7 linked regions of the Xenopus tropicalis genome follow. The protein of the gene in region 1 interacts with the protein of each later gene in a biochemical or structural test. Links are inferred from orthologs where the notes say so. Each region holds a gene or a part of one and is shown on either strand. Other genes may lie near its edges. The genes, in order: sumo2, pias1, smchd1, sobp, tpr, daxx and top2a.

Region 1 (4,088 bases):
CTCCCTTTTGCTTGTGACATTTGTATTGTCATCCCTTTGTTGTTTACAGATCTCCACCTTACAAGCAAACTCCAAATGAAAGAAAATAAATGCCCTTATAACCATGTCCCAATATGCACTGCTTGTACCCTAGGCAATTTTGGGTGGGTTTTAGGCCTTTTCATTTTTGGGGGGGTAACTATGAGGAGCAGAAGGCTGTCAGTGTTATTAACAGTAAATAGGGAAGAAAGACAGTAAATCCCAGTGTTGGAATGAGGTGTGTGGGGTCCACCACCTCAACAGACGGTTTTTCTCCTATCGTTCCGCTCGTCCAGTCCCACCCTGGGAAATGGCTGTATTTTATGTCCCTAAAAGGGCAGCCACCTTCCATGATTTTTATGTTTTGTCTGGAAACTTTGGATATGGTTTGGATATGATTTTTATGTTTTGTCTGGTAACTTTGGATATGGTTTGGATATGATTTTTATGTTTTGTCTGGTAACTTTGGATATGGTTTGGATATGATTTTTATGTTTTGTCTGGTAACTTTGGATATGGTTTGGATATGATTTTTATGTTTTGTCTGGTAGCTTTGGATATGGTTAGCTTCTCTATGTTTTTGGTATGTATAACTTTATTTATAAAGCGCCACAAGGATACGCAGCACTGTACAATCTTACAATATACACAATTACCCACAGGTAGGGCAAGTGTTATAATAAATTTCAATAAATAAGTATAAATACACAGGGAGTAAGTGCCATGGGGTATGAGACACAGTAGGAAGGAGGTCCCTGCCCCGTAGAGCTTACAATCTAAGTGGTTGGGTAACATACAGGCACAAACTGGAAGGTAAGAGGCACCAGGTATGGGCATTTGCCCTTAAGTGCAGGACTGATCAAAATAAAGTTTTAGTGAAAAGGTAACTGGTATGGCAACTGGTATGGCTTCCTCCTTTGGCTTAATTATAGGGGGGGCTGTTTCTGGAAGCTTCTATCATGGCTCCTGCCCCCTCTATGAGACTAGGCCAATGAAGTCACTGGAAGGGATTTAGCCAATCCCGGGTACAATGCGGCCCAACCTCACCCTGACTCTCCTCAGAGTCAGACCCCTCCCCCCATGCGCGCCCCCGCCGCCACGTGCTCCCCAAGGCGGGCTTTTCCCTACAGTGGAAATAGCGGCGGGGGCGCGCACGCAGAGAGTGCGCCAAATCTTCCTTTCCGTACGTGCGCGCTCTCGTTCCACGTCCCGCGCCAGTTCAGGCTCTTTGTGAGGAGGAGGCAGCAGCGAGAGTACCGGGCACCGGGAGCGAACTGACAATGGCGGACGATAAGCCCAAGGTCCTGCTCCGGGCTGGGAGAGGGAAGGGTCGCATAGCGGGCTTGGGGCCGGGGGCAGTGGGTGCGGGGCAGGAGGAGGGAGAGGCCTAGGCGCTAAAGGGAGGGGGCAGCGGCCTGCGGGCTGTGCGGGGGCTCTGTGGGTACGGGAGGGGCCCGTAGGGAGACAGCCGGGAGAGGGACGCCCATACTAGCGGGGCTTGGTTATGGGAGGCTGCACTGCATTGGCCCACTAGGTTTATGGGGAAGGGAGCACAGGAACCAGGGAGCACTGGGGAAGGGAGCACTGGGGAAGGGAGCACTGGGGAAGGGAGCACTGGGGAAGGGAGCACAGGGGAAGGGAGCACTGGGGAAGGGAGCACAGGGGAAGGGAGCACTGGGGAAGGGAGCACAGGAACCAGGGAGCACTGGGGAAGGGAGCACTGGGGAAGGGAGCACAGGGGAAGGGAGCACAGGGGAAGGGAGCACAGGGGAAGGGAGCACAGGGGAAGGGAGCACAGGGGAAGGGAGCACAGGGGAAGGGAGCACAGGGGAAGGGAGCACAGGGGAAGGGAGCACTGGGGAAGGGAGCACTGGGGAAGGGAGCACTGGGGAAGGGAGCACTGGGGAAGGGAGCACTGGGGAAGGGAGCACTGGGGAAGGGAGCACTGGGGAAGGGAGCACTGGGGAAGGGAGCACTGGGGAAGGGAGCACTGGGGAAGGGAGCACAGGAACCAGGGAGCACAGGAACCAGGGAGCACTGGGGAAGGGAGCACAGGAGCCAGGGAGCACTGGGGAAGGGAGGACAGGAACCAGGGAGCACTGGGGAAGGGTATGTTGGGCACTGCCAGTATTGGGAGATGGGAAGTAAATGGGAATGGGCGACCTTGGCTATACTGGGAATAGGGATATTAGGGGGGCCTGAGCCCAGGTATGTTGTGGGGGAATATACTGGGGCTGGGAATTGGGAGGTTAGGGGGCCCTGAGCCCAGGTATGTTGGGGGGGGAATATACTGGGCCTGGGAATTGGCAGTTTAGGGGGCTCTGAGCCTAGGTATGTTGGGGACATATACTGGGGCTGGGAATAGGGAGGTTAGGGGGCCCTGAGCCCAGGTATGTTGGGGGGGAATATACTGGGGCTGGGAATTGGCAGCTTAGAGGGCCCTGAGCCCAGGTATGTTGGGGGCATATACTGGGAATTGGGAGCTTAGGGGGCCCTGAGCCCAGGTATGTTGGGGGCATATACTGGGGCTGTGAATTGGGAGCTTAGGGGGCCCTGAGCCCAGGTATGTTGGGGGCATATACTGGGAATTGGGAGCTTAGGGGGCCCTGAGCCCAGGTATGTTGGGGGCATATACTGGGAATTGGGAGCTTAGGGGGCCCTGAGCCCAGGTATGTTGGGGGCATATACTGGGAATTGGGAGCTTAGGGGGCCCTGAGCCCAGGTATGTTGGGGGCATATACTGGGGCTGTGAATTGGGAGCTTAGGGGGCCCTGAGCCCAGGTATGTTGGGGGCATATACTGGGGCTGTGAATTGGGAGCTTAGGGGGCCCTGAGCCCAGGTATGTTGGGGGCATATACTGGGGCTGGGAATTGGGAGCTTAGGGGGCCCTGAGCCCAGGTATGTTGGGGGCATATACTGGGGCTGGGAATTGGGAGCTTAGGGGGCCCTGAGCCCAGGTATGTTGGGGGCATTGACTTTAGGGAATGAGGTAACTTGGGGAGAGAGGAATTCAAGAATGTTGAGTGGGAAAAGATGTAGCCTCTGGCCAGTGAGAAGGGCAAGTATTATGGGAGAGCTTAATGGTGGGAAAATGGGTATGCAGGGCTCAGTGCCATTAAATAGAGTTAATACTGGCCAGAAGCCTAGGTTATGTTGGGGGCATTCCATGCAGAGTAAGGGGCATAAGGGTGAAGACACACTGAGCTACTAGCAGCAACTAATTTTTTACAGCTACAAAACACCAGAAAATCCCCTGCCTTAGACAGTATGGAGCGTTGCGAAAACAGAGAATTATCAGTAACTGATTGGCATTGAATATTTTAGTAGCTGTGACAAGTAGCTGCTACTACTGTGTGTCTTCGACCTAAGGAAGGAGAATTCTTAGTATGGAAGGAATTTTAGAATTGAGGAAGTAGTGTAGGTAATGGAGGAACACGTGTTAGAAGCAGGAAGGGTAAGGTGCATTAGGCACAGTGGAAAGAAAGTTCTGAGAACTTTTAAACTTGTATTAAGTCTTTAGATTCAGGGTCTGTGACACTGTGAAGCAGTACCATGTTATTCTGCATACTGGCCCTCAATGTGATATTGCTCTCTTAATCACTGGGACCTGTTAATTGGGGACCTAGAGACACAGGCAAGCGTACTGTAAGGCTAATATATACGATGAGGTTAGGGGCTAGACCAGCTTTTGTGAGTGTAGTTGTAAGTTAAATGCCTGTGCAGTCAGTAAACATTCCAGAACTGTAGCTCCCAGCAGTGACTGTTGTTCTAAAGGGAACATTTGGTGTATTTTGTGTAATGACATGCAGCCTTATAACTTCTGTGCTCCCCATCTTTCTTCTTGTGCGTTGTGAACACATTACCAAATGTAGCATGGTCCCCGGCCAGATCTAATATAACTAGAGTTCTTTTGTCATTTGGTGCCAAAGTATTCTCTAGAATGGGGTGCAAAGAGCTCATTTCTCACAACGGGATGAATAACCACAAGCGTTACCAGTGTTTCTGTGCCATGATGCCCCTTCCCAGCACTCATTCCACTTTTTACTTCTTTTAGGAAGGTGTTAAGACC
Region 2 (3,500 bases), on another chromosome or scaffold:
AACTCTTTCTCTAGTAGGAATGGAGACTTTGTAGCTCGTGTGTTGATATTTGTGGGTAGTAAAAGGATTCCTTTTGTTCATGCACTGGTGCATCATCTGAGTTGCATAGATCCACACGGGCCTGTAATCTTTTGTATTAATTCTTTTGTTTTTTCCTCTCCAGGGATATCTCTGGGACAAAATGTGACTTCACAGTACAAGTGCAGCTCAGGTATCTTTTCATTCACAAAATATGTTGTGGCAAAAGGGTTTGTGTCTTTTCACTTTCCACTGTGATGTCTCTTTTTGTAACAACAGTTTATATTTTAAGTATTCATTTTGGGAGTAAAGTAACCTATTAAGGAATCTCTCCAAACTGCTCTATATCTATATGTAAAAGGCAGAACTCTGTCCACTAATTTAATTCTTAAAATGGCATTTTTCTATTTAGGAGTACCCAATAGCACACACTACTAAAGTATATTTTTATGAAAATGGTTTACATAGATAAAGAAGGGTTTTACATATGATCTTGTTTTATGCAATATATTTTTATAGAGACTTACATTGTTTGGGGGTATAGTTTTCCTTTGATATAATCTGCATCATTTTAGAAATAAAGTTAAATGACTAAATTAAGATCAGACTGCTGGGGTTATTTAAGTATCTTAGTCTTCTCTTAGCCCATGAAAAGGATGTAAAGTGTTCTTTTTAATTTAGTGGTCCAATCATAGTGTTATCAATGCCACTATTTTAATCCATCAGCCTGGGGGTAAACTCCTTTCTTTTTTTAGGTTCTGTCTCTCTGAGACAAGCTGCCCCCAAGAAGATCATTTTCCACCAAATCTGTGTGTAAAGGTGAATGGAAAACCATGTAACCTTCCAGTAAGTGAATCTCCTTGACTTTTCTTTTATTGTGTGCTTTGTGTCTCATATACAAAGACTTTCATTGCTGTTGCCTTGTTTACAGGGGTATCTTCCACCAACTAAAAATGGGGTTGAACCAAAGCGACCTAGTCGACCAATCAATATTACCTCACTTGTACGGCTTTCCACAACAGTCCCAAACACAATTGTGGTGTCGTGGACTGCAGAAATTGGAAGGGTAAGACTTCCAGAACTCATAACAGCCAGTATCTACATGTGTATTGTGCGTTTTAGGTTAGTAAGACACAGTTGTCTTTACTGAATTGGATAAATGGTTATTTCTGTTCCGTTTCTTTAGGTTTATGACTTAGTTCACATTAAATGGCCAGTGACCAATGTCTGGCTATATTATGTTTTCTTTTAAAGGTCTTCCCCCCCCCCCCCTTTGTTTTTTTTGTTTTTTTTTTTTATAAATTCCTTTCCTTAATGTTTACTGAGTGGGAAAAGACAGAAAGATACATATTCTCATCAACTATAAATTACTTCTAAGGATTTCCAGTTTCATATAAAAGAGCAGTACCTTATTCAGTGTTGTGTAGATTTCTGTTGCTTACTGAGTTTTATTTATCTTTAGAATTTTTCTTTGGCTGTTTATCTGGTGAAGCAGCTTTCATCGGCCATCTTGCTTCAGAGACTGCGAGCAAAAGGAATCCGCAACCCTGACCATTCCAGGGCTCTGAGTAAGAAATAAACTGCTTATTTTGCTTCTGGTCTTCTTATTTTCTCCTTTGTTCCCTGAAGTGATTGAATGAGCACTGTCAACTAGGTTCTTTTCTTTTCTCTTTTCTGCAGCCCTTTGACTAGGAAATAATACAAAGTAGAACATCTTGCTATTCGTTTTCTCATCCTTGCTCTATTCATCATTGCACATTGTATATTTTTTTTTTTTATTTGATGTTAATGATTCATCATACCGTACTCATGCCTTTTTAAAGAGGCACATGAACGATACGTCCCATAAATAGGCATCAAAACTAAAGGCAAAAACCTCATGCCTTCTACCATAACCGAAACACACCAGGGGAAATTACCTATATAGCATAGTTTAAGAAAAAGAGAACATTAATTTTAATTTCTATCGTGTTGGCAGGAGGCTTTTATGAATATTGAATACAGGAATCCTTTTTTTTTTTTTGTTTTGTTTTGTTTCTGTTTCGTTTTTAAAGCATTGTCTGAGCTACCGGGTCTTCTGTAGTAGCCCAGCTGTTTTGTCAGTGAGGGCATGCCACACTAGGACCATCATTTGTTTTTGTAAGTTAAATTGGGTTTACACAAGCCATTTATTTTCTTTTCCTGAGAGAATCTTTCTTGAGTGGCGGCACCATACACAGAATTTTTTAGTACTACAGGTCACCATTTTCTACAGTTGACTTGCTAGTGATTACTCTAATGCCAGGAAAGAGGCTTGGCTACTGAACGTTGTCTGCATGCTGGGTCTACCCCAGACAGATGTGATAGCAGCAAGTTCAAATACCAAGGATCCTTAGATTTATGGTAGGAGTTTTCTGGAACAAAGAATATAACAATAGAGTAAATACAAAATGTAGATGATTCCACCTCTTTGCATCCTACCCAAAGCTTTATAAATAAGGCTACAACCAAAATATATTAGTAGATTTGTAATTTCTAAACCGGAAAACATTGCCAGACAATGTGATCTTGACCATAATGACTACACAATCTGAAATGCTCTAGAAATGAAAAGTGAATAAAATATATCAATGCAAGAATTGTACAAGGAATCAGTCAGCTTGAGATTGTTACAAGTTTTTTTTTTTTTTTTCTCTCTACTATGGGTCAGTGATCCTAGTGGGTAAACTGTTTTTCCCCAAATCAAATGACTGGTATGAGATCAATTATCCAGAAAGCCCTAAATAATGGAAGGGTCATCTCCCATAGACTCCATTTTAACAAAATAATTCACATTTTTAGAAATTTCCCTTTTTCTCAGTAATAATAAAACAGTAAGATATAATTAATCCTTACTGGTAGCCAAACAATCCTATTGAGCTCATTTAATGTTTAAATGAGTAGATTAGTAGACTTATAGTATGGTGATCCAAATACAAAAAGATCGCTTATCTGGAAAACCCCCTGAGCATTCTGGATAACAGGTCCCATGCCTGTACTTATATAATTACATTATATATTCTTTTTGCTTTCCCTTTAGTTAAGGAGAAGCTCACAGCTGATCCAGACAGTGAAATCGCCACAACCAGTTTACGTGTCTCCCTTCTGTGTCCGGTAAAAGCCTTTTGATTACTTTTGTAGCCAATCTGAAACCTTTCCCTGACTGTTATCCAATCTCTTATTGTAAGAATTGACCTGTTGTTGACAGCAGTGTCCTATCTATCTCATAATTTTCTTGCATGCTTCTGTTCTAAAACTTCTGTGAATCATTTTATTTTACTCTGCAGTGAAGCAGGCTCCGTAAAACATATCTTTATATTTCTGTAAAATAATTTATTTGGATTTGGTATTTATTCATCAAAAAACCTGCATGCCAATTATTTAGAAAATTATTTGGAATTCTACTTAATTACACTTCCTTCTTTAACCAACAATCTGTCATGTTGCTGCTTTTTCATTTCAGC
Region 3 (3,500 bases), on another chromosome or scaffold:
TGATAAAATATATGAAAGACATGGCTGAACCAGGAGAAAACCGATAATGAAATGTGGGGAAGACATAACATAACTACCTAAAAATATCCCTCTTAGTAATTTTAGTCAGGACTCTGGAGACATATTTTCATCTTATTTCTAATCGGCCTTTTTGTTTCAGGCATATCTATCATTACTACCTCCATGGGCCAAAAGGAAATTATTTCAATAACAGGAAAAGCAGTTCATTGCCATCCACTAATCTTGACATTGAGGTAAATCATATTTTTTTTGTATACATAATGCATCTTTGTTTTTGGCTGATCTGAAAGGGGCCTTTAGAGTTTACCACTTGTGACTGCTGTCTAGATCTTCAGTTTCATTTTTGTAATACTGCAGGCAATGGGTAGGATATTAGTTAACCTAGGTAAAATGTATGGAGGTCATTCATTCTAACATATTTTTTTTTTTTTCCAGTTCCCAAATTAATAGTCATATAGTGTGATAAATGAACCAAAGACATCCTTCAGATGTCATTAAAAGAAGCCTATTAAAGAATACTGGGCTATAATAGAAGAGTAAATCAAAAGGAACGGAGGTTATAGGAATCAACTCTTTTGATATTTTATCTTTTTGCTTCATATGGTAAACTGGCACAGCCTATTAAACATCTTGTTGTGAGTGTTGTTTCAGTAGCTTGAAGTAGTACTACTTTGTAAGCAAGGTAAGGATTTAACTGCAGCATGGCACTGATTAAAATGGAGCCATGAAACATAAATTATGCTGCAGCATTATTTAGGTCTCTAACAGCTGATGCTATAAAATGTATGACCTATGTTTGGCATTCGGTTCAAGAATAACTCCCTTCATTCAAAATGAATAGCAAATCTACAGGAGCACTAAGGGGCCCAACTATGAATAAACCTCAATGTTTATACGGGACCCAAGGAGTACTATGGTAGTTAATCCAGGTTGTTGCAGTTCCTCCTACCTGTTAAACTGACAGAACTTCACACTAAATTTTTTTTGGTTCCATTGCTTATTATTTACGGAGAAAGAAAGGCAAAGTCACTTGGGGTGCCAAAATGTTAGGCGCCCCCAAGTGACTTAAATCGCCTACCTTTTACCCCGGGCTGGTGCCCCTGTTCGGAGAGAACAGCACCAGCCCGGGGTAGCTGCAGCGCTTCCTTCTTCCTGCTTCAGTGCGCGCGCATGTGCAGTAGAGTGAAAAGCCGAACTTTAACAGAAAAGTTGGCTTTTCACTCTACTGCGCATGCGCCGACCGCTGGCATTTTTGGAAAAGGAAGGAGGAAGCGCTCCGCTACAGGTACCCTGGGCTGGTGCTGTTCTCTCCTAACAGGGGCACCAGCCCAGGGTACAAGGTAAGCGATTAAAGTCACTTGGGGGTGCCTAACATTTTGGCACCCCCAAGTGACTTTGGCTTTCCTTCTCCTTTAAGCATAAACTCTCAACACTTTTTTTGTCTTTTAATATAAAACTCAGCCATCACTATTTAGCTTAGTTTATTGTTTGCTTTGTTTTTACATTACATATATTTTTTCCATGACTTTTAATTTATATTTTTTTTTGTAGAATATCTGTATGCAGGTCTGCTGTGGGTTATTTAAAACACATCATTTTTTTTTTGTTCTGCTTTTTCCCAGTTTTCTTTTATTGTAAAAAATTTGCAATAGCAGCTTTTTCTATTATAAATGCCTTTTTTATTTTACAGCTCTCCTTGTTTGAAAAGGGAAAGTCACCAAAGATTGTCAACCTAAGAGAGATCAAAGATGACATGCAAACACTTTATATCAATACTGCAGCTGACACATTTGAATTTAAAGCCCTTGTTGAAGGCGAAGGGGTTGTAGAAGGTGTTATACGTTACCACCCATTTTTATACCACCAGGAAACCTATCCGGAAGATCCTTATAAGACAACAAGTAAGTAAGGCTTGGGTATCTTTCAGTTAGCAGCTATGTAAACACCAATTTAAAAAAATGTATATGCACCATACATGGCATATATGAAATTATAATATTTTTGTGATCTACTTCTACATTCTTGAATACAGTCTCTAAATACATTTTCAAATAACTTCTCCTCTACAGTTATCTGTAAGTACAAGATTAAGATGCAAAAAATAATAAAAGCGTTGGGGAGCACTCACTGCTCTAGATATTTTCTAATATTTACTAGTGTTTCAACATTCCCAAACAATAGCCATGACTATTTTTGGCATCATTTGCTCATGCTTTTACTCCTTTCTTCTATTTTAGATTACTAGTCCACTCCAAATACTACTAGGCCACTCCAAATACTGAAATTATATAAACTTTAATCCAGTGGGCTGGTACAGTACCGAAAATTGGAGTCTGGGAAGATTAAAATTAATAGCCTAGCTTTATCCGAAGTCTTGTCCCCAAGTACTTTTTACTTTATTATTTCATGAATCTGGGTCTTGTTCTCAGTTTTTTGGTCAAATGTTTGAAGACCATGTATTGAGTGCTTATGCCAGACTGTTTAGCCTCTTTGTTGCCTCATGTTGCTTTGAGTATTAAAGGAACAGTAACCTGTTGCTTTTGAGTATTAAATGAACTAACACTAAAAAATGTTTTAAAGTAAATAAAATATATTGTACTATTGCCCTACACCAGTGCTGTCCAACTGGCGGACCCCTCTTTGTGCCCCCCCCCCCCCCCCCCCCCCCCCCCACCTGTCAGGCTGCTATGACTGCTTACCTTTGCATAAGAATAAATGGTATCAGTACTGAGATTAACTGGACCCCTGCATTGTTTACACCTCAAATTCAGGCTGTAAACCCCTGCATAATTTAAACATATAATTTCTATGTACTGTTCACACCTTTTAGTCCCTGCATTGTTCAAACCTCAGGCTCAGACTGCTGTAAGCCTCTACATTGTTTTCCTTTTTACACCCCAGACAGACTGTAGAGGCAGTGCCAGCATTGTGTCACTGTATGTACAGCATAGGGCAGGCAGATAATGGAACACACAGGCAGAATAGGGCAGGCAGAGTATGGCACACAGGTAGTACTCTGCCTGCCCTACGCTGCCTGTGGGAGGTGAACCTGGCAGGGATTTGTTCTGGAAGTTTGTTAGCATTTGGAAATAGCCATTATATGGTCCCTAAGGTGTGTTATTATATGCGTGGGATTGCTGTGCTATCCAGAGTGGTGGAGGAGGCATATGGATTTAAGGGTATGTCTTAAAATTACATAATATAATTCTTCACATATGAGCAAAGGGTGATATCCCTACAGTGAACACCAACCATTTGGGTTTTTGCTGCTCTACCACCATTAATGTGGGTATGGTCTATTCTTTAAGAGGCCTCCATGCCTTGAGATAGAGTGCCTGTTCCTTAAAGATTGATTAAAAGGAGAAGGAAAGGTATTTTGGCATTTTATTGCCAATAGATTAGTCACAATAGTGCAAGCTAGAATTCTATATTTATTCTACAGAATGCTTTACCATACCTGATTAAACAGCCATTGAAGC
Region 4 (4,164 bases), on another chromosome or scaffold:
GGCAGGAGAATGCCGCTCTCTTACTTGCCCTTATCTGATCCCACAGCCAGGGCTGAATCTCTTGCCTAGTCACAGAGTGCAAGTGACTCATAGAAACGCTAGCAACTCACACATTATTATAGTAATGCCTCTCACTGATTTTTTTCTGCTTTTGTACACTCAGGTGGAGAGCTAAACAATGGCATCTGTCTGGGGAGCAGTGCCATAACCAGAATAAAATCATATTAGGGGAACCTTAAACACCAGGAATAACACAATTCTGCTAAACATTACCTAAAAATTGTTCGACGCTGATCCCAATATCTCCTGGGCCTCTCAGTGTTCATAGGACCTGCTATTTTTGTAGGTAAGTCCCTGCTGGTGGGAATAGCACTTCTGTACACAGAGCACCCCTTGCATTTATAAGCATTGAAATAAAACATTCTATCTATGGGCATTTAAAAAGTAAAGACGTTATAGAATTACAACTTGTGCTCCATGTGTAATTGTGCTCAGGAATGGGGAGATTGGAAATGTCACTGCGTATAATGGGGTATTTCACCCCAGAAGGGGCATGAAACTGAAGTGCATATTGGTTTTACTGTCTCCATTATTGTTTATTTATATAGGTGGTTGTGCAGGGTTTTACATTTACAAAAATCTGTGTTATTACAATGCCCTAACGAATAAAAATAGGATCTGAGAGTCTTACTCAAAAGTGCATAAAATCTATTTCAACCTTATTACTGCTGTGTGAAAACCAGTGTGGTGTGGTTGGACTGCCATTACTATACTGCCATAGACTGATGAGGGAATCCATCAAATGGGGCTGGTGAGTAGGAAGAGAGGAAGGAGGCTACTCGTGGCACTATCCCAGCCTGACTCCCACCTCTCCCAGATGTGTCCAGCAGCGCTCCTGGCACATTCTCTCCATCAGTGTGTGAGTAGGAGGAGGCGCAGAGGAACATTTTGGCAGGCGCTCCTCCTCCTCTCTCACAGCCTGGGAGGGACAAACCCCCTCTACTGTTCTACACAAGGAGCTCTCTCTCTGTCTCTCCTCCCTCTCCCCCTGCTACAGTCACACAAACATACACACACTGCCATAGACACAAAGCAACAAGCCTGACACTCATGCACACTGAGCCATAGGCGGAAGATGGCTGAGCTGACAGCAGGGCACTCACAGCCCCTCAGCCTGGCATCACCAGCCCTCCCTATACAGCTCCCTCCTCACACAGTTCCTGACGCCTTTCACCTCTGAACACATTGGGTGGGTGGGGGGGAATCGCCACTTCCCATTACTGCTCCCCCCAAATCCCCCCATACACTTTATAATCTAGCAGCCATTTCAGCAGTAGAAGCAAGAAACACGCACACTAAAAAAAATGGCAGAAATGGAAAAAGAGGGGAGACCCCCAGAAAATAAGAGAAGCAGGAAACCTGCCCACCCTGTGAAAAGAGAGATCAACGAGGAGATGAAGGTAAGAGATGGCACTGTGAGATTAGAATGGGGCTCCTTCTATTCCTCTGTTGTTTGTTGCAGTATAAACGCCGGGAACATATAATATATGTGTATATAATGTTAGTGCTTGTCATTTTCTGTAAGATGCGCTCAATGGCACAGCCCCGCCTCCTGGGCTGAAAACAGAGACAGATTCACAGTCCGGAGCGCTGATTTTGCTCCACGGGAACACGTTGCTTATTGTATCGCCAGCCTGTCACTTTATTCAAAGACTTTTTTACAGGCAGGTTGTGCTTCCATATTAAGAACCCCTGCTTCCTCTCGCCCTCCTATCAAATTGTCTAGTGCATACATTTGTCAATGGGGGGTTAGAGTGGTTCTTGTGCATTTGTTGTATACCTGCGTCGGCTGAAGTTGAGAGTTGCAGTTCTTCAACAGGTTTGTACCTTTGTAGTGCCTTTAAAGCGAATGCTGCAATAAGTGTATATGTATTGTAAATGAAAGTTGAAGCTACATGATCCTTTCTGTTGGTAGTCAGATACCTGTCATGGACTGGATCAGCTATTTTTGGAAACCCAAAAGGGGTTGCTTATGAGATCCTGTTGTATGAGACTGGTCTTCCAGATGTTAGTGTGGAACCTGCATCCCACCAGGTCCTACTAAGCTCACTGTGCTGCTACATAGCAGAAGATTGCCATGGTGTATTCAGAAATCTGTGTCGATCCAGCTCAGCAAGCAGTATCCCTTGAAATAAAATCTAAAAGTGAAGGCGTTTAACTAGCATTTATGCTTTTCTTCTGCTGATTGTACAGGCATTAAACCAATTTAGGCCTGAGTGAGACCCAGTGTTTTAATTTCACCCTGCTGCTTTTATAAGCTACTGGATGTACTAACAGCTAATTGGCAAGAGACTTCCATGTGGAACGTTGGCTTGCTTACATATAACAGACCCTTACTGTATATGTCTATGTTATATCTTGATGGTGTATGTCTATGTTATACTGTACCATTTCTTCTTCTTAGAGAAATGGTTTGCTACATAGTAATGAAAAGAAAATAGATTACTTGTCATGCTATTCACACATGTTGCCAGGTTGTAAAGACATGGGCAGTTGTATGGTGATCAATGAACACAATCATGACTCCTGGTGTACTAGGGTCTATTTTTTTGTATTACTTATATATAACAAAACTTTACTCATATGAGAACATATTAATAGAAATGGTTAATTTTAGCTGTTGGTTAACCTACCTACTTTCATCACCGCCAAGTTGCCCAATCTATCACATTGTCATTGGCAGCTTTGAGCCATCGCTTAATGTGATCTATATGGATTGCAGCTTTTAACATAGGTTCTAGAATTACAAATTAGCTAATTTTAATCAAAACATGTGAAATGTTATCCTGGCTGGATATAAAGGCTGACTGTGCTGGATCCTCTGGGTTTGTTTTGTTTATTTTGGCTGCAGGCACACTCGGTGGTTTGGGAGATAGCTGTTCTTCATAGCAGATGTTTGTCTGAACTGGTGGGGTAGAAACAAAAACAACATTGTGTGAAGGGAAAATTACACAATTTTGAACTGATGCTTTGGTATTAAGGACTAAACTTAACAGTATCTCTGAGAATTTCCTTTTTACAGTGTTCTGGTCTTGGGTTGCTAAAACATACAGTAGAAAGGGTAACAATATTTTTGCATTAGACATCTTTAGATGTGATAGAAATCAGAGCTGTTTGTATGGGGGGTCTTAATAGGGGAAGGCTACCTCCTACTGCACATAGTAGGGCTATTAGGATAGGTAGGGACAATGTAGGAAAACAGGTATAGTAGAGCAATATGGCAGCAGTAGAGCAAGATGGAGACAGCTTTGGTATTGTCCATCCTGCAGCCCTTCAGTTTTTATTAAAGGCACAACTTCCAGCTGCAGGTAGTGAGTACTGAGTGAGTTATAGTTGAACAACATTTGAAGGAGTATAGGTTGGCCAGTCCTGTTTTGTATAAATACTGGGACCCTACTACTACCAAAAATAGCCCAGCAGAAATATTGCTTAATTATTTCTAGTGATTAACCATTGCCCTCACTGCATCTCTCTCCCCTGCCCTGGAATTGCACTGTTTCAGATTCATCATGCATAGCCACAATTCCAAGAAAACAGTTAACTTTCCACCAAGGGGATTATTTTTGTTCTGACCAATCAAGTAATGCAAGAAGGCTCCATCTATATGGGGCTTGGAATACAGTAACAGCAAAGTGGAAACAGTGTAAAATGAGTTTGAGACAAAATGTCAAGAGGGACACAATGTGCTCTTGTGTAGTTTCATATCTGTAATGTTCAAACAGCCTGGCTATGTTTCCCTTCATCTGAACAGCTTTCATCTGGGCTAGTGTAAAATAAGCCCTGGTAAGTAATCACTGCAGAGCAGAAAGAAAGGAATGTATACAGCAATAGACGGTCTAAGCTGTAAAAACTGTAACCTGAGCATTGGCAAAGGATCGGGTATCAAGGCTTTAAGGTAGGGGAAATGAAAGAAATGAAGAAGAGGGAAACACGAGAGTGGGAATGGAAAAGTCAGCTTGGAAAGTAAAGGGGTAGGAGGAGGCCCCCCTGAGGGAAATTTGGCCCAGGGATTAGGGAATTTTATCATGGTGTACAGTGACCTACTCAAGTTTCAAACCACATTGGATTGAGTTGCCTCTCTCTGCTAACAGAAGAAAAAGAACT
Region 5 (3,500 bases), on another chromosome or scaffold:
CCGTCTGCACTTTTAGCAAGTAAAGAAACTGATAGCTGCTGTAATGCATCTCCAGGGTGGAAACCCAGCATTTTAAGCAAATCATGGGTTTCAGACTTTAGGCTGACGTTGGATGCAAAAAATATTATGCACTTTTGAGCCCCTGAAAATGGGGAGGCTATGTATAAAAATAGTGCTAATTCCTAAAACGCTCATATAATAATTTTGTTAAACCACTTAAAGTTGCCCTATCACACTAAAATTGCTTCCCCCACCAGAGGTGCAGAATAATAGAACCCGCGCTTCGGTTGAGGGAAACAGTCTTAAAAAAAAAAAAAATAGGCTCCTACAGTATTGAGTCTCACTAATGCGCATGCTAAATAACATGGCCGCCCGCTTCGGGAGGTTCATCCCTGTGTGGGCAGTGACATATTTAGCAGCACTTTATAGATGTTATACTCTTATACACTGCCCAAGTGGAGCTTACAATCAAAGTATATTATATTGTATTACTTACACATAAGTCACACTGACTCCATTGTCCAATTTATTTTTATATCTGGTTGAAGTCAGGCTGTGCTATTAAAGCTTTCTTTCAAATGATCTATATATTTTTGGCTTTTCTGACTGCTACATACTTGCTACATAACTGTAGGAGGAAGTGTCCCAGATACAGTCACGTTGCGAAGATCTAGAAAAACAGAACAGACTGCTTCATGAGCAGATTGAAAGCCTCAGTAAAAAGATGGTGAGCTCTGTTCAGGAGGGAGCGTTGAATATATCATTCGGTGAGGAGGGCAAGTCCCAGGAGCAAGTAATGGAAATTCTCAGGTATACTGTTTTATTGCATAAGAAACTCCTTATTTGGTAAAATATATTTGACTTCTGAGATTAGATGAGCCACTTGATACATTTACCTTACATTTAAATTGGATATTGTATATGCAAATAAGGTAGTTTATCTATTACAAATTGAAATTCTATAATTCAGTGGCACATGCCATGTAACTTGCCTTACTGTTATTTTTGAGTTTCTCCAGAAGAGGCATATGTGTCCTGCCAGTTCAAAGTACTACTGTGGCAAAATGCTTTTGTTGTCAGTGCTGCAATGCCAATGCTGTGTGTATTTGAGCATTTCTTATTTAAACTATATGCAGTTTAATGTTATGCGGGTTCTGACTAGGGATATTGCAACAAACCATCTATCTACCTATCATTCTTCTGAGAACAATGCAGGTGTAGTAGTTACCTGCAATGCTTGGCACCTGGTGTTCTGGAATTCTGAGGTTTCTCTTTAATTTGAAGCACCCGGGGTGGTTTTGCCATCTGTATGGATTTCATATCTTTGTTATAATCAACTACTTGTACCTTCTGGTTATTATAGATGAAAAGCAAATCTGGAAAAAAATGCTTGTTTGAACAGGGCCATGCGGGAATTTATAGTGTTGTATTATGGTGTTTTCTAAATAATGGGTTTCCAGATAAGTGATCCCATACCTGTACTAGTCCATTTTAAATATTTCCACACTTACTGAGGGCCTATAGTGGGCCTTATTATCCCCGTAAAAACTGAATTATAGCCATGGTAGACGGGGAGATTAGTCGCCTGCGACTAATCTCCCCCATATGCCATCCCACCGGCTTGAATGTAAATCGCCATTGGGATGGCATATGCAGTGCTGCAATTTCCCGAAATTGCGGAAGTTTCCTCTCAAGGCATCTTCCGTGATTTTGCGAAATCGCAGAGCCGTATATGCCATCCCACTGGTGATTTACATTCAAGCCGGTGGGATGTCATATCGCGGAGATTAGTCGCCCGCAACAAGCCCGTTTTAGATGAGAATTGGAATAAAAAGCAGTAATTTGAGTTCTGCCCTCAAAAGGAAATCTCAATAACTTGATAATGCCATAACAGAACTGTGCAAATGGTGGGTAGTCTGCACCGTTCTTGGCTCATTATCTCGAGTGAAATGCAACCTATTTTGTAGATTTGTTCGGCGGGAGAAGGAGATAGCCGAAGCCAGATTTGAAGTTGCACAAGTTGAATGCTTGCGGTACAGACAGCGCATAGAGCACATGGAACGGGAAGTGCATGAGCTGCAGGACAGCTTGAATGCTGAGCGTGAGAAAGTGCAGGTAGGTTGTCTCTTGCTTTATGCTAGATTTCTTCAGTCTCTTGGAGCATGTATCATTGATATTGGCATGTTTATTTACCAGGCATCCTATAACAATCTACTTATAAACCATGTGGCCCAATGCATGGTACACTGACAAGGAAGTGAAGGGGAGCTGTCTGGCTCATAGTACAGTATCTGTCTGTTTAGGCTGTGGGCTAATTTGGTTTGATACTGTACATAATCAGTGTTTCTGTTCGCATCCATACTAACATGCAGCACAGTGACAGTGGTGGAGGTACAGCTGTGGATTGTACCTGCCAATTAACGTGTCATCTGAAAATATTTCCCCCAGAAATATGCTAGCCATTTTAAGGTACAATCCAAGCAAATTGATATGGGTTGGTTTAATTTAAAGAGAGCCCGTAACTATTTATACTCCTACTGCATCTTAAATCCTGTAGTGTGTCTACCTATCAAATAAACCATTATGGTACTTTATGTGTGACTTCCTACTTGCATGTAACATGCAACAGTTTGTGATGTAACTTGCACTCTTCAAAGGTAACTGCCAAGACCATGGCTCAGCATGAAGAACTAATGAAGAAAACCGAAACTATGAATGTTCTAATAGAAAGTAACAGGATTTTGAGGGAAGAGAAGGAAAAGCAAGAACAGGAACTGCAGCAACTGCAAGCAAAGGTGAGTGAGGAACATAGAAATGCTTTTGCAGCTCTATCATTGGACAGTCCTTCTGTTAAACTTGCCCTGGATGGTGGTGGTACTGAAACTTTAACCTTTTATTTGGCATGCAGAAAGTGCTGCAATAGCAGTTGAGGTTTGTTTTGTAGGTTACTGCTGTGTGAATTATTGGCTTCATGAAGTTTAAATTGTTGTGAGTTGAAATTAATAATTTGGATAATACTAATATTTCAGATACGTAAACTTGAATCAAACATCCTGCCATTGCAAGAATCCAATGCGGAGCTGAGTGAGAAGAGTGGAATGCTGCAGGCTGAAAAGAAATTATTGGAGGAGGATGTCAAGCGCTGGAGGGCTCGAACACAGGTCTGTCCCGCCATTTTATACATAGAAAAGCTAGCTAATGCTACCATAGTTATGTATTATAGTTCATTGCACATTAACTGAATCATTATCGAATAATAACTTTGCATATTTGTATCTTTGAGCCATTTCCCTAAACCTTCTGTATTCCAATATTGCCAGAGCATAGGGCTCATTTACAAACTGCAAGTTGTAGCTGGCACAGCTGTGTGTGATGGTCATTTTGACGCAAATCGGAAGTTTCACTGAAAAGATTAGGAGTATTGGGGAAATATAGTGCTCTGCATTAAAATAACATTAGCACATGATTCATACTGACACAGGTCACAGAGGGAAACCTGT
Region 6 (4,249 bases), on another chromosome or scaffold:
ATACAGGGGTATGGGAGATAGCTCTCAGTACAAGTGAGGGAATACAGGGGTATGGGGGATAGTTCTTAGTACAAGTTGATCCAGGGACTGGTCCGATTGCCATCTTGGAGTCAGGAAGGAATTTTTTCCCCTCTATGGCAAATTAAAGAGGCTTCAGATGGGGTTTTCTGCCTTCCTCTGGATCAGTGCTGTCCAACTGGCGACCCCCTCTGTGTGGCCCCCCACCTGTCTGGCTGCTTTGATGGCTTACCTTTGTGTAAACTTTAAATGGTATCAGTACTGAGATTAACTGCCCCCCTGCATTGTTCTCACCTCAGATTCAGGCTGTAAACCCCTGTATTGTTTAAAAATGTAATCCCCTGTGTTGTTCACACCTTTTAATCCCTGCATAGCTGACCTATGCTGTCTGTGTGTATGGCACACACAGGTAGAGCAGGCAGAGTATGGCACACACTGGCAGCATAGGGCAGGGAGGGTATGGCACACACACGCAGCTAAGGGCAGGCAGAGTATGGCACATGCAGGCAGCATAGGGCAGGGATGGTATGGCACACACAGGCAGCATAGGGCAGGGAGGGTATGGCACACACAGGCAGCATACGGCAGGGAGGGAATGGCACACACAGGCAGGGTAAGGCAGGCAGAGCATGACACACAGGCAGCTAAGGGCAGGCAGAGTATGGCACACACAGGCAGGGAAGGGCAGGCAGAGTATGGCACACACACGCAGCTAAGGGCAGGCAGAGTATGGCACATGCAGGCAGCATAGGGCAGGGATGGTATGGCACACACAGGCAGCATAGGGCAGGGAGGGTATGGCACACACAGGCAGCATACGGCAGGGAGGGAATGGCACACACAGGCAGGGTAAGGCAGGCAGAGCATGACACACAGGCAGCTAAGGGCAGGCAGAGTATGGCACACACAGGCAGGGAAGGGCAGGCAGAGTATGGCACACACAGGCAGGGTAGGGCAGGCAGAGTATGGCACACACAGGCAGCTAAGGGCAGGCAGAGTATGGCACACACAGGCAGGGAAGGGCAGGCAGAGTATGGCACACACTGGCAGCATAGGGCAGGCAGAGTATGGCACACACAGGCAGCATAGGGCAGGCAGAGGCATACTTTATGGTTGAACTTTATGGATATATGTCTTTTTTCAACCTAACTTACTATGTTACTATGTAATGTAACACAAGCCAGCAGACTGAGAGAGCTGTCTTGCTGCAGGAGATGAATCAGTACAGTTTTACCAGTAAGTCATACCTAGAGCCTCCCTAAACTTAAAAAGATTACTGTATCAGCCTCAGTGCCTGGACAGCAGTACCAGCACCATAGGGAAAGAGACTGGGTTATGCTAATTGTACTAAAAAACAACTCATTGCGGCTCAGACTTCCCTACGCAAGGTTACGTTACGTCGCAAGCACCGCCCACTTTCTTACACGGAAACGGAAGCAGATAGTGGAATAGCTGAATCTAAACGGGACCGGAAGCGGACGTTGAGTGGGACTGGCGCGATAATTTTCCGATTATACCGTATGTTATTTGTGTTTGGGAATACGATTTTTATAATATAGTCTGTGCGCCTATGGTACTACGTGTGGCAGATTGCTAAAAATTCGGCTACTCACCAAGGTAATCACCTGCTTATTTAGCTTTCTATATATTGGGGTGGTATTGTAGTAACAAAAAGATTTTGGAAGAAGTCTTGTAACCTGACAGGCGTAACATTTGGCAGCAGTTAAAGACAAGTAGAGAAGTGTTCTGTGTCCGTGCAAATGCAGTTGGTCTGTGGCCCTGCTAGCTGCCTTGGAACTCCCGTCTGTCACACACATACGGCAGCCGCGGTGGCGAGATGTTATAGCTCCATGTGTATTTAATGGCATTAAAGCTATCTGATTATTTTATAGACATTAATGTTGTGTGCAGACTTATTGTAGGGACCTCCTTCCCTTTTTAATGCGAATTATAAAATAGAAAGTGAGAAAAAGGGAGAAAAGCAAAGAAAAAAGAAAAAGAAAAGCCAAATGTACCTTATAAAATGGTAGGGCTTTGTTTACAGCCTCTATCTGAATCTATTCCACTAAGTATAATTTCTTTTTTTACATAGAACTATACAGGTAGAAGGAAAGTATTCTGCAGGAGGTGATTCCAGTAGTCAGACCTAAAACTGCAGTTGCTGGGTTGGGTTCTATTTTCAGGACCATTCCCTTAGAAATAAAAGCTAAGATCAGGATTCAATAATCATGGATATCCGGACAAGACAGTTTTACATGTAACCAGGCCCCAGGACCACCTTTACATCTGGGGCATGTGCCCCTTGTTTGGGTTAAGATCATTTAAGCTGTGCCCAGTGTGAAATTTTGGGTTTCATGTCCACCACAATGGGATCAGCATTGTTTAGTTTGAAAAGCTTTATGTCCTTCGTCGACATTTCACCTAAATATTAAAGTTTATTAACCCAGAAGAGGGGGGCATATATGGGGGTAATTCAGGGACCCCCATTTCTATTTTCCTCTTCCTACATCACACTTAGCTTTAGAGTTTAGTAAATCCTGTAGCATTAGTTTACATGACTGGCAAACCTCATTTTCTGCTTTATAATTTGTGAGGACCCCTAAGCTTTTTAACAGCTGCCCATAGCCCACTGAGCGTGTGAGTGTCACCGGCACTTCTAACAGAAGATGGGGAGCTCCTGTCATGAGTTTGAAGGTCTGGATCATTACTAATATAGAGATGCTGAACCTTTAGGCTGGTCCAATAATTTCAGTTTCTAGCCATATTACTTTTTAGGGTATAATTATTCTTTTAAAGGACATGTAAACCCCACACACAAAAATTTAATCAGCGAACAGCCTCTTTGAAATCTTTAATAGTAAGGCTGCAACATCTCCTTAATCACTTAGATGCTCCTCCTGTAACCCACTCGGCCCCCACCCTCAGGAATTTGCTTTGACTTCTGGCTTGTGGACATGCTCAGTTGTTCTAAGCTCAGATTACTAGACACGCCCTCCAGTCTTAGCAGCCAGTGAAGAGATGGCATTGCTGGTTCCCATAGAAACTCAGCTCTAGCTGTCTGCTTCAATTTTTTTCTCCTAACCTCCTCTCCTGAGCTCAACTCAAACAAAGCAGAACTTTTATCAAAGACAGTTGTGCCTGTGTAAGCCTGTATTCTTGATGGAATGTATGCTGAATAAGGGTCTGTGTGTGTGTATGCTGTTTGCATATTTAAATGTATCTGATTATGTATTAGAGGAAAAATGGCCACCAGGTGAAAGCTGCTATTTGCTTTAGGAAAATGTGATGGTGCTAGCAAGCGGAGAGGATATATGCAGTGCAAATGATGTCATTTGGGTGGGGGAGACGTGCCCAACTGATATACATTGTAGGCAAATGTAGGGTTTACATGTCCTTTAAGTATACAATTCCTGTAGAAGTGACTGGAAAAAAAACATGAAGCAGCACGTGATCTCATTCAGCTCATTCTTGTTGAAATTGAATATAAAACACTAATATCCTCACCAACTTATAAAGTCAACTGGCTGAATAGCCAATTCACAATTAAGTGCAATGCAGATTGCACTGTTTTTTTGTGCAGCTATTTAGTATATATCTGCTTAGAAGTCTACCAGCACATAATTTTATGAAATATATTTAATTGAGGTCAACAGTGGTTTCTACACAACTTCCAAGAATCAGAAAAGATAAAAATGATTTGGCCTTACATAATGTATTTCCAATCCCTCCTATCTGGCATTGTATCAAATGAACTGAGGTGTGAAGTTGTGGAAAATCTATTTTTAAAGTGGTTGTACCTGCATTTACATTAGTTTTAAGAAATGGATGGATGACTTTTTAGGCAAATAAAAAAAGCTCCTGCCTCATTTGCGTTTAGGCGGATATCGGCTACATGTGCCTGCACCCGAGCGTATTCAATTCATTCGGGTGCAGGCACAGGTAGGGGGATTTTTAAGCGTATAGAGCATATTCTCAGCATGCGTTTTTCGGCTTGCCAAAAATATGCGCCATATGCTACGTGTGGGCCCAGGAGCCTCAGTAAACACCCTCACCTGACCATAGGCTAATATACGAATCACTGCAACTAATCCTGCAGCAGTTTGCGGTGTGCTAATTAGTTGTCGCATTTCACCTCCTATTTCTGCACCCTGCCATCCTCTCCTACCTTCCCCAACATTTATAGTTTTCATTTGTTTTTTTACTAAATTGGGTATGTCTAGCTAAGATTTTT
Region 7 (3,500 bases), about 36 Mb from region 1:
TAAAAGCAGATATATGCAAACCTTTTTACTATTCTACAGGGTTTGATTAACTTGAAACCACACCCATGTTATCACATGACCATACCCATATTAATGGTTGTAGTACAGCAAAAACCTGCCATACTCTGCCTGCCCTACCCTGCCTGTGTGTGCCATACTTTCACTGTGTGTGCCATTCTTGGCTGGTTTGTGCCATACTTGGCCTGTGTGTGCCATACTCTGCCTTCCCTACCCTACCTGTGTGTGCCATACTCTGCTTGCCCTATGCTGCCCGTGTGTATGGCACACACAGGCAGCCTACAGTGACACAATGCTGGCACTGCTCCTACAGTCTGCACAATAAATATATATTAAAAAACTTTTTAATTGCAGTACCACCTCAGTATATGTTCTTTTTGTAGTATGCAGGGATTATTTGTGGGTTTCTACTGCTCCTGAGGTGTGAACAGGGGAACACAGTTTAATAGGTTCTTCTACATTACATCCCAGAGGCTGGTTATCTTCAAACTCAAAAGGCTCTAAAATCATTACAAAGATTTGGTTGTCTGAATAAAAGACCTTTCAAAAAGTCTTAAATGGCAAAGAACTAAAATAGTTCTTTAGAGTTGTTTTTCCATCTTAAGTGAATTTAGTTGTTTGGGTTTGACTAGGAACAAATGTGGCTTATTTGCCAATTCTAAGATGGTTAGATATTATGACCAGTAGTGGTCGGCAGATACAAGCCCATGAAATGTCAGCCTTATATAGCCATATGGTATGGTACCATAAATCTCTGCTACAGCATCATATCTTGGTGTGTGCTGGGCTTCCATTTTTTCTTGCTTTCCTGGATTATGGACCTGGCCAGTTTAGGGCGTTACACCACTGGCGACAGTCAGATACTATACTGGGGGTGCTTCCAAACATACATTACTGTCTCCAGAAACCAACCCTTCTTTAATTGTGACTTTCAGTGGTCGGATAACTCATCAGAGATGTTTGCTTGGGTTTTACTGCATAGCATTTACTTATTACTAAATATGGAGTTGCCTTGATGTTGGTTTGATAATATTTAAATACTTCCACCTTCTCTAGTGGTGAGTGTCACTATCTGGCATTTCCAATAAATGCTGTCATTTTGTTTTTAGAACGCAGAGCTTCAGGACCTGAAAAAGAAATCACCTTCTGACTTGTGGAAAGAAGACCTTTCTGCATTTGTTGAGGAGCTAGACGTAAGTAGTAACATCTATCCTTCCTTTGTCTATTTGGTATTTGTTGCTTTATATAAATTGCTGCGGTTCCAACAACAGGAGTTGTGTTCTTGCTTTGTGACAGCGTGTAGAAGCCAAAGAAAGGGAAGAACAGTCCGTAACAACAGGCAAAGTGGTTAAAGGAAAGAGTGGGAGACCGCAAGTAAAGAAAATGCAATTGCAGGAAATTATGCCATCTCCACATGGCAGGCGTGTTGTCCCTAAGGTCACAACAGCCATGAAAGCGGAAGCCACCAAAAAGATGAAAAAGAGAATTAAGGTAAACGAGCGTTTCTGTATAGATTTAGGTTTGCTTGGCTCAACAATAACTGGCCTTTTTGAGCATATGTATATATAGAATATGTATTGACTTTTGCATTTATAAAATGTACCCAAACATTTGCCATTTGTTAGGGTGAGGATGTTGCTAAGAAGATGGATTTCGAAGACGATGGTGAAGGAGACAGCTTAAATTCACCAGAACAAAGTCCAGAGAGCCTAACGCTTGCCGAAAGATTAAGCAAAAAAGTTAAAAAAGAGCCAGGTGTGTAAATGGTTTTTAATGAAAGCTTCTCTGTTTGCATGCTGGTGTTATGCTGCAATCTAACATTTCTATAACTGCTTTTACATAAAGGCGCAAAGGCTGTCAAAGACAAGAAGCAGGCAACGTTACCCTTCAAGCCAGTAAAAAAAGAGGCAAAGAGCACATTCCAGGATTCAGAGAGCGAGTCCGAGGAAGAAGTGGTGCCACGTGCTGCTCAGCCACGCCGCAATGTTGCAGGTGAGAAATGCTAGTAGCAAATTTACCTCTGCAGTCTGAACACAGTTGGGGTTTTATGAACATAGTGTTTAACATGGTGTTAGGGCTTCCCGACAAATGCCTCTGATGCAAGTACTGGTGCAAAAAGGGGGCCCTATAGAGGCCAGTGCTGGGGGTTTTTTTGTTTGTTTTTAGAGCTTCTTTATTGTTTCATTCATTCATTTACTGATAGTTGCCTAGGCCTGCTATGGAATGTGTTACCACATAAAAGGGTTCTGCTTGATAACAAATGTTTTTATTTGCTTCTAGCTAAAGTGAACTATATGTTGAGCTCTGATGAAGACGGTGAAGAAGAGGGAAGCGGCATAAAGATGCCTCAGGAGAAGAGTGACAGTGAATTCAGTGATTTCAACCCAAAATCTGATTCAGAAGATGAATCCTTTGTAGTTGCAAAGCCAGCCAAAAAGCCCAGAGCTGCGCCCAAGTGAGTACTCTCCCCTCCCTTTAGGTACAAATCAACTTAAGCCATTTCTTGGTGACAATTTTGTTTCCACCATTTAATGCTGCTTACTAAAAAAAGGATGTGATTGGAAACTACCTTACTGGCATCCTGATGGAAATTGGTAGCTTCTAAATGTTAGTATTATATAGACAACATGCATTTTTTCCCTGGCAACCAGGTAGAAACTTGAATGAGGGGGAGTGATTTAAAAAACTTATAAAAAGTAACAGAATTGCAAACATACAGAGTTGGTGACTACTGATTTAAAGGCTTTTTTTTCTGTAAGATTTGATGTTTTGTCTAAAATGGTTTAACTTATTTAACAGGAAAGCTAAAAAGATTGAAAGCCCAGAAAACTCTCCACAGAAAGACAAAGCAGGTATGTTTTATCAAGAATAGCTGCTTGGGATATTCACATAGTAATACATTACATATGGCAACGTGTTTTGGGGGTTTTATGAGCCCAGTACAAATGGGACCACAATGAAATAAAGGATCACACATGTATGTTTACCCCAGTTCAGCCATATGTTGGCTTGTTTTTCTGCTGCAATGAAACATGCTATATTCATAGATAACATAACACAACATATATTAACCATTCTGTATCCTGGCAGATCTGAGTTATGTCTTGGTATTAATGTGACTGGTTCTGTTGTATTTTTGTCTAGCTCCAGTAATTGCATTAGATGAAGATGAGGATACTCCCATAATGACCAGTGCTCCCAGCGCCCCTGCACCGGCTCCCAGTGCCAAAGTGTCAAGTGCTAAAGTGGCAGAGAAGAAACCTGCACCTAAAAAACGAGTCCAGAAACCGAAGACTGGTGAGAACTTCTGTTTTGCAATATATTAAACGTGGGCAATTTTTTTTGTTTAAGTATCTTAATATCCAAGTTTGGCCCACTACAGATCTTTACTGCGTTTGCCGTGACCTTGTGTATACAGAAGTATGCCGATGTAAAACACTTCATTTCTGGTGTTTGTATCACAGTAAATATAATAATAATAA

The links.
Region 2: the proteins of sumo2 (region 1) and pias1 form a complex in vitro, tested with the Homo sapiens proteins (4 studies listed by BioGRID). The link is inferred for Xenopus tropicalis from reciprocal best matches to the Homo sapiens genes SUMO2 and PIAS1.
Region 3: the proteins of sumo2 (region 1) and smchd1 form a complex in vitro, tested with the Homo sapiens proteins (2 studies listed by BioGRID). The link is inferred for Xenopus tropicalis from reciprocal best matches to the Homo sapiens genes SUMO2 and SMCHD1.
Region 4: the proteins of sumo2 (region 1) and sobp form a complex in vitro, tested with the Homo sapiens proteins (2 studies listed by BioGRID, with this or other methods). The link is inferred for Xenopus tropicalis from reciprocal best matches to the Homo sapiens genes SUMO2 and SOBP.
Region 5: the proteins of sumo2 (region 1) and tpr form a complex in vitro, tested with the Homo sapiens proteins (2 studies listed by BioGRID). The link is inferred for Xenopus tropicalis from reciprocal best matches to the Homo sapiens genes SUMO2 and TPR.
Region 6: the proteins of sumo2 (region 1) and daxx form a complex in vitro, tested with the Homo sapiens proteins (4 studies listed by BioGRID, with this or other methods). The link is inferred for Xenopus tropicalis from reciprocal best matches to the Homo sapiens genes SUMO2 and DAXX.
Region 7: the proteins of sumo2 (region 1) and top2a form a complex in vitro, tested with the Homo sapiens proteins (2 studies listed by BioGRID). The link is inferred for Xenopus tropicalis from reciprocal best matches to the Homo sapiens genes SUMO2 and TOP2A.

Annotation. Positions count from the first base shown.
Region 1 is NC_030686.2:44,411,113-44,415,200, forward strand, and holds the start of sumo2 (small ubiquitin-related modifier 2 precursor), read left to right. Parts: upstream 1-1,288; 5' UTR 1,289-1,298; coding exon 1,299-1,319; intron 1,320-2,029; exon of another isoform or gene 2,030-2,266; intron 2,267-2,613; exon of another isoform or gene 2,614-3,471; intron 3,472-4,073; coding exon 4,074-4,088. UniProt on the Homo sapiens protein: Ubiquitin-like protein that can be covalently attached to proteins as a monomer or as a lysine-linked polymer.
Region 2 is NC_030679.2:117,674,199-117,677,698, forward strand, and holds part of pias1 (E3 SUMO-protein ligase PIAS1), read left to right. Parts: intron 1-163; coding exon 164-211; intron 212-773; coding exon 774-864; intron 865-949; coding exon 950-1,084; intron 1,085-1,480; coding exon 1,481-1,586; intron 1,587-3,076; coding exon 3,077-3,150; intron 3,151-3,499; coding exon 3,500-3,500. UniProt on the Homo sapiens protein: Functions as an E3-type small ubiquitin-like modifier (SUMO) ligase, stabilizing the interaction between UBE2I and the substrate, and as a SUMO-tethering factor. Catalyzes sumoylation of various proteins, such as CEBPB, MRE11, MTA1, PTK2 and PML.
Region 3 is NC_030682.2:107,280,104-107,283,603, reverse strand, and holds part of smchd1 (structural maintenance of chromosomes flexible hinge domain-containing protein 1), read left to right. Parts: intron 1-160; coding exon 161-254; intron 255-1,711; coding exon 1,712-1,922; intron 1,923-3,500. UniProt on the Homo sapiens protein: Non-canonical member of the structural maintenance of chromosomes (SMC) protein family that plays a key role in epigenetic silencing by regulating chromatin architecture.
Region 4 is NC_030681.2:78,843,763-78,847,926, reverse strand, and holds the start of sobp (sine oculis-binding protein homolog), read left to right. Parts: upstream 1-1,364; coding exon 1,365-1,460; intron 1,461-1,681; exon of another isoform or gene 1,682-1,879; intron 1,880-4,164. UniProt on the Homo sapiens protein: Implicated in development of the cochlea.
Region 5 is NC_030680.2:119,736,954-119,740,453, forward strand, and holds part of tpr (nucleoprotein TPR), read left to right. Parts: intron 1-634; coding exon 635-810; intron 811-1,967; coding exon 1,968-2,115; intron 2,116-2,657; coding exon 2,658-2,795; intron 2,796-3,029; coding exon 3,030-3,161; intron 3,162-3,500.
Region 6 is NC_030684.2:72,202,352-72,206,600, reverse strand, and holds the start of daxx (death domain-associated protein 6), read left to right. Parts: upstream 1-1,449; 5' UTR 1,450-1,635; intron 1,636-4,249. UniProt on the Homo sapiens protein: Transcription corepressor known to repress transcriptional potential of several sumoylated transcription factors. Down-regulates basal and activated transcription.
Region 7 is NC_030686.2:8,636,589-8,640,088, forward strand, and holds part of top2a (DNA topoisomerase 2-alpha), read left to right. Parts: intron 1-1,127; coding exon 1,128-1,211; intron 1,212-1,314; coding exon 1,315-1,509; intron 1,510-1,643; coding exon 1,644-1,773; intron 1,774-1,863; coding exon 1,864-2,010; intron 2,011-2,298; coding exon 2,299-2,473; intron 2,474-2,817; coding exon 2,818-2,870; intron 2,871-3,162; coding exon 3,163-3,315; intron 3,316-3,500. UniProt on the Homo sapiens protein: Key decatenating enzyme that alters DNA topology by binding to two double-stranded DNA molecules, generating a double-stranded break in one of the strands, passing the intact strand through the broken strand, and religating the broken strand.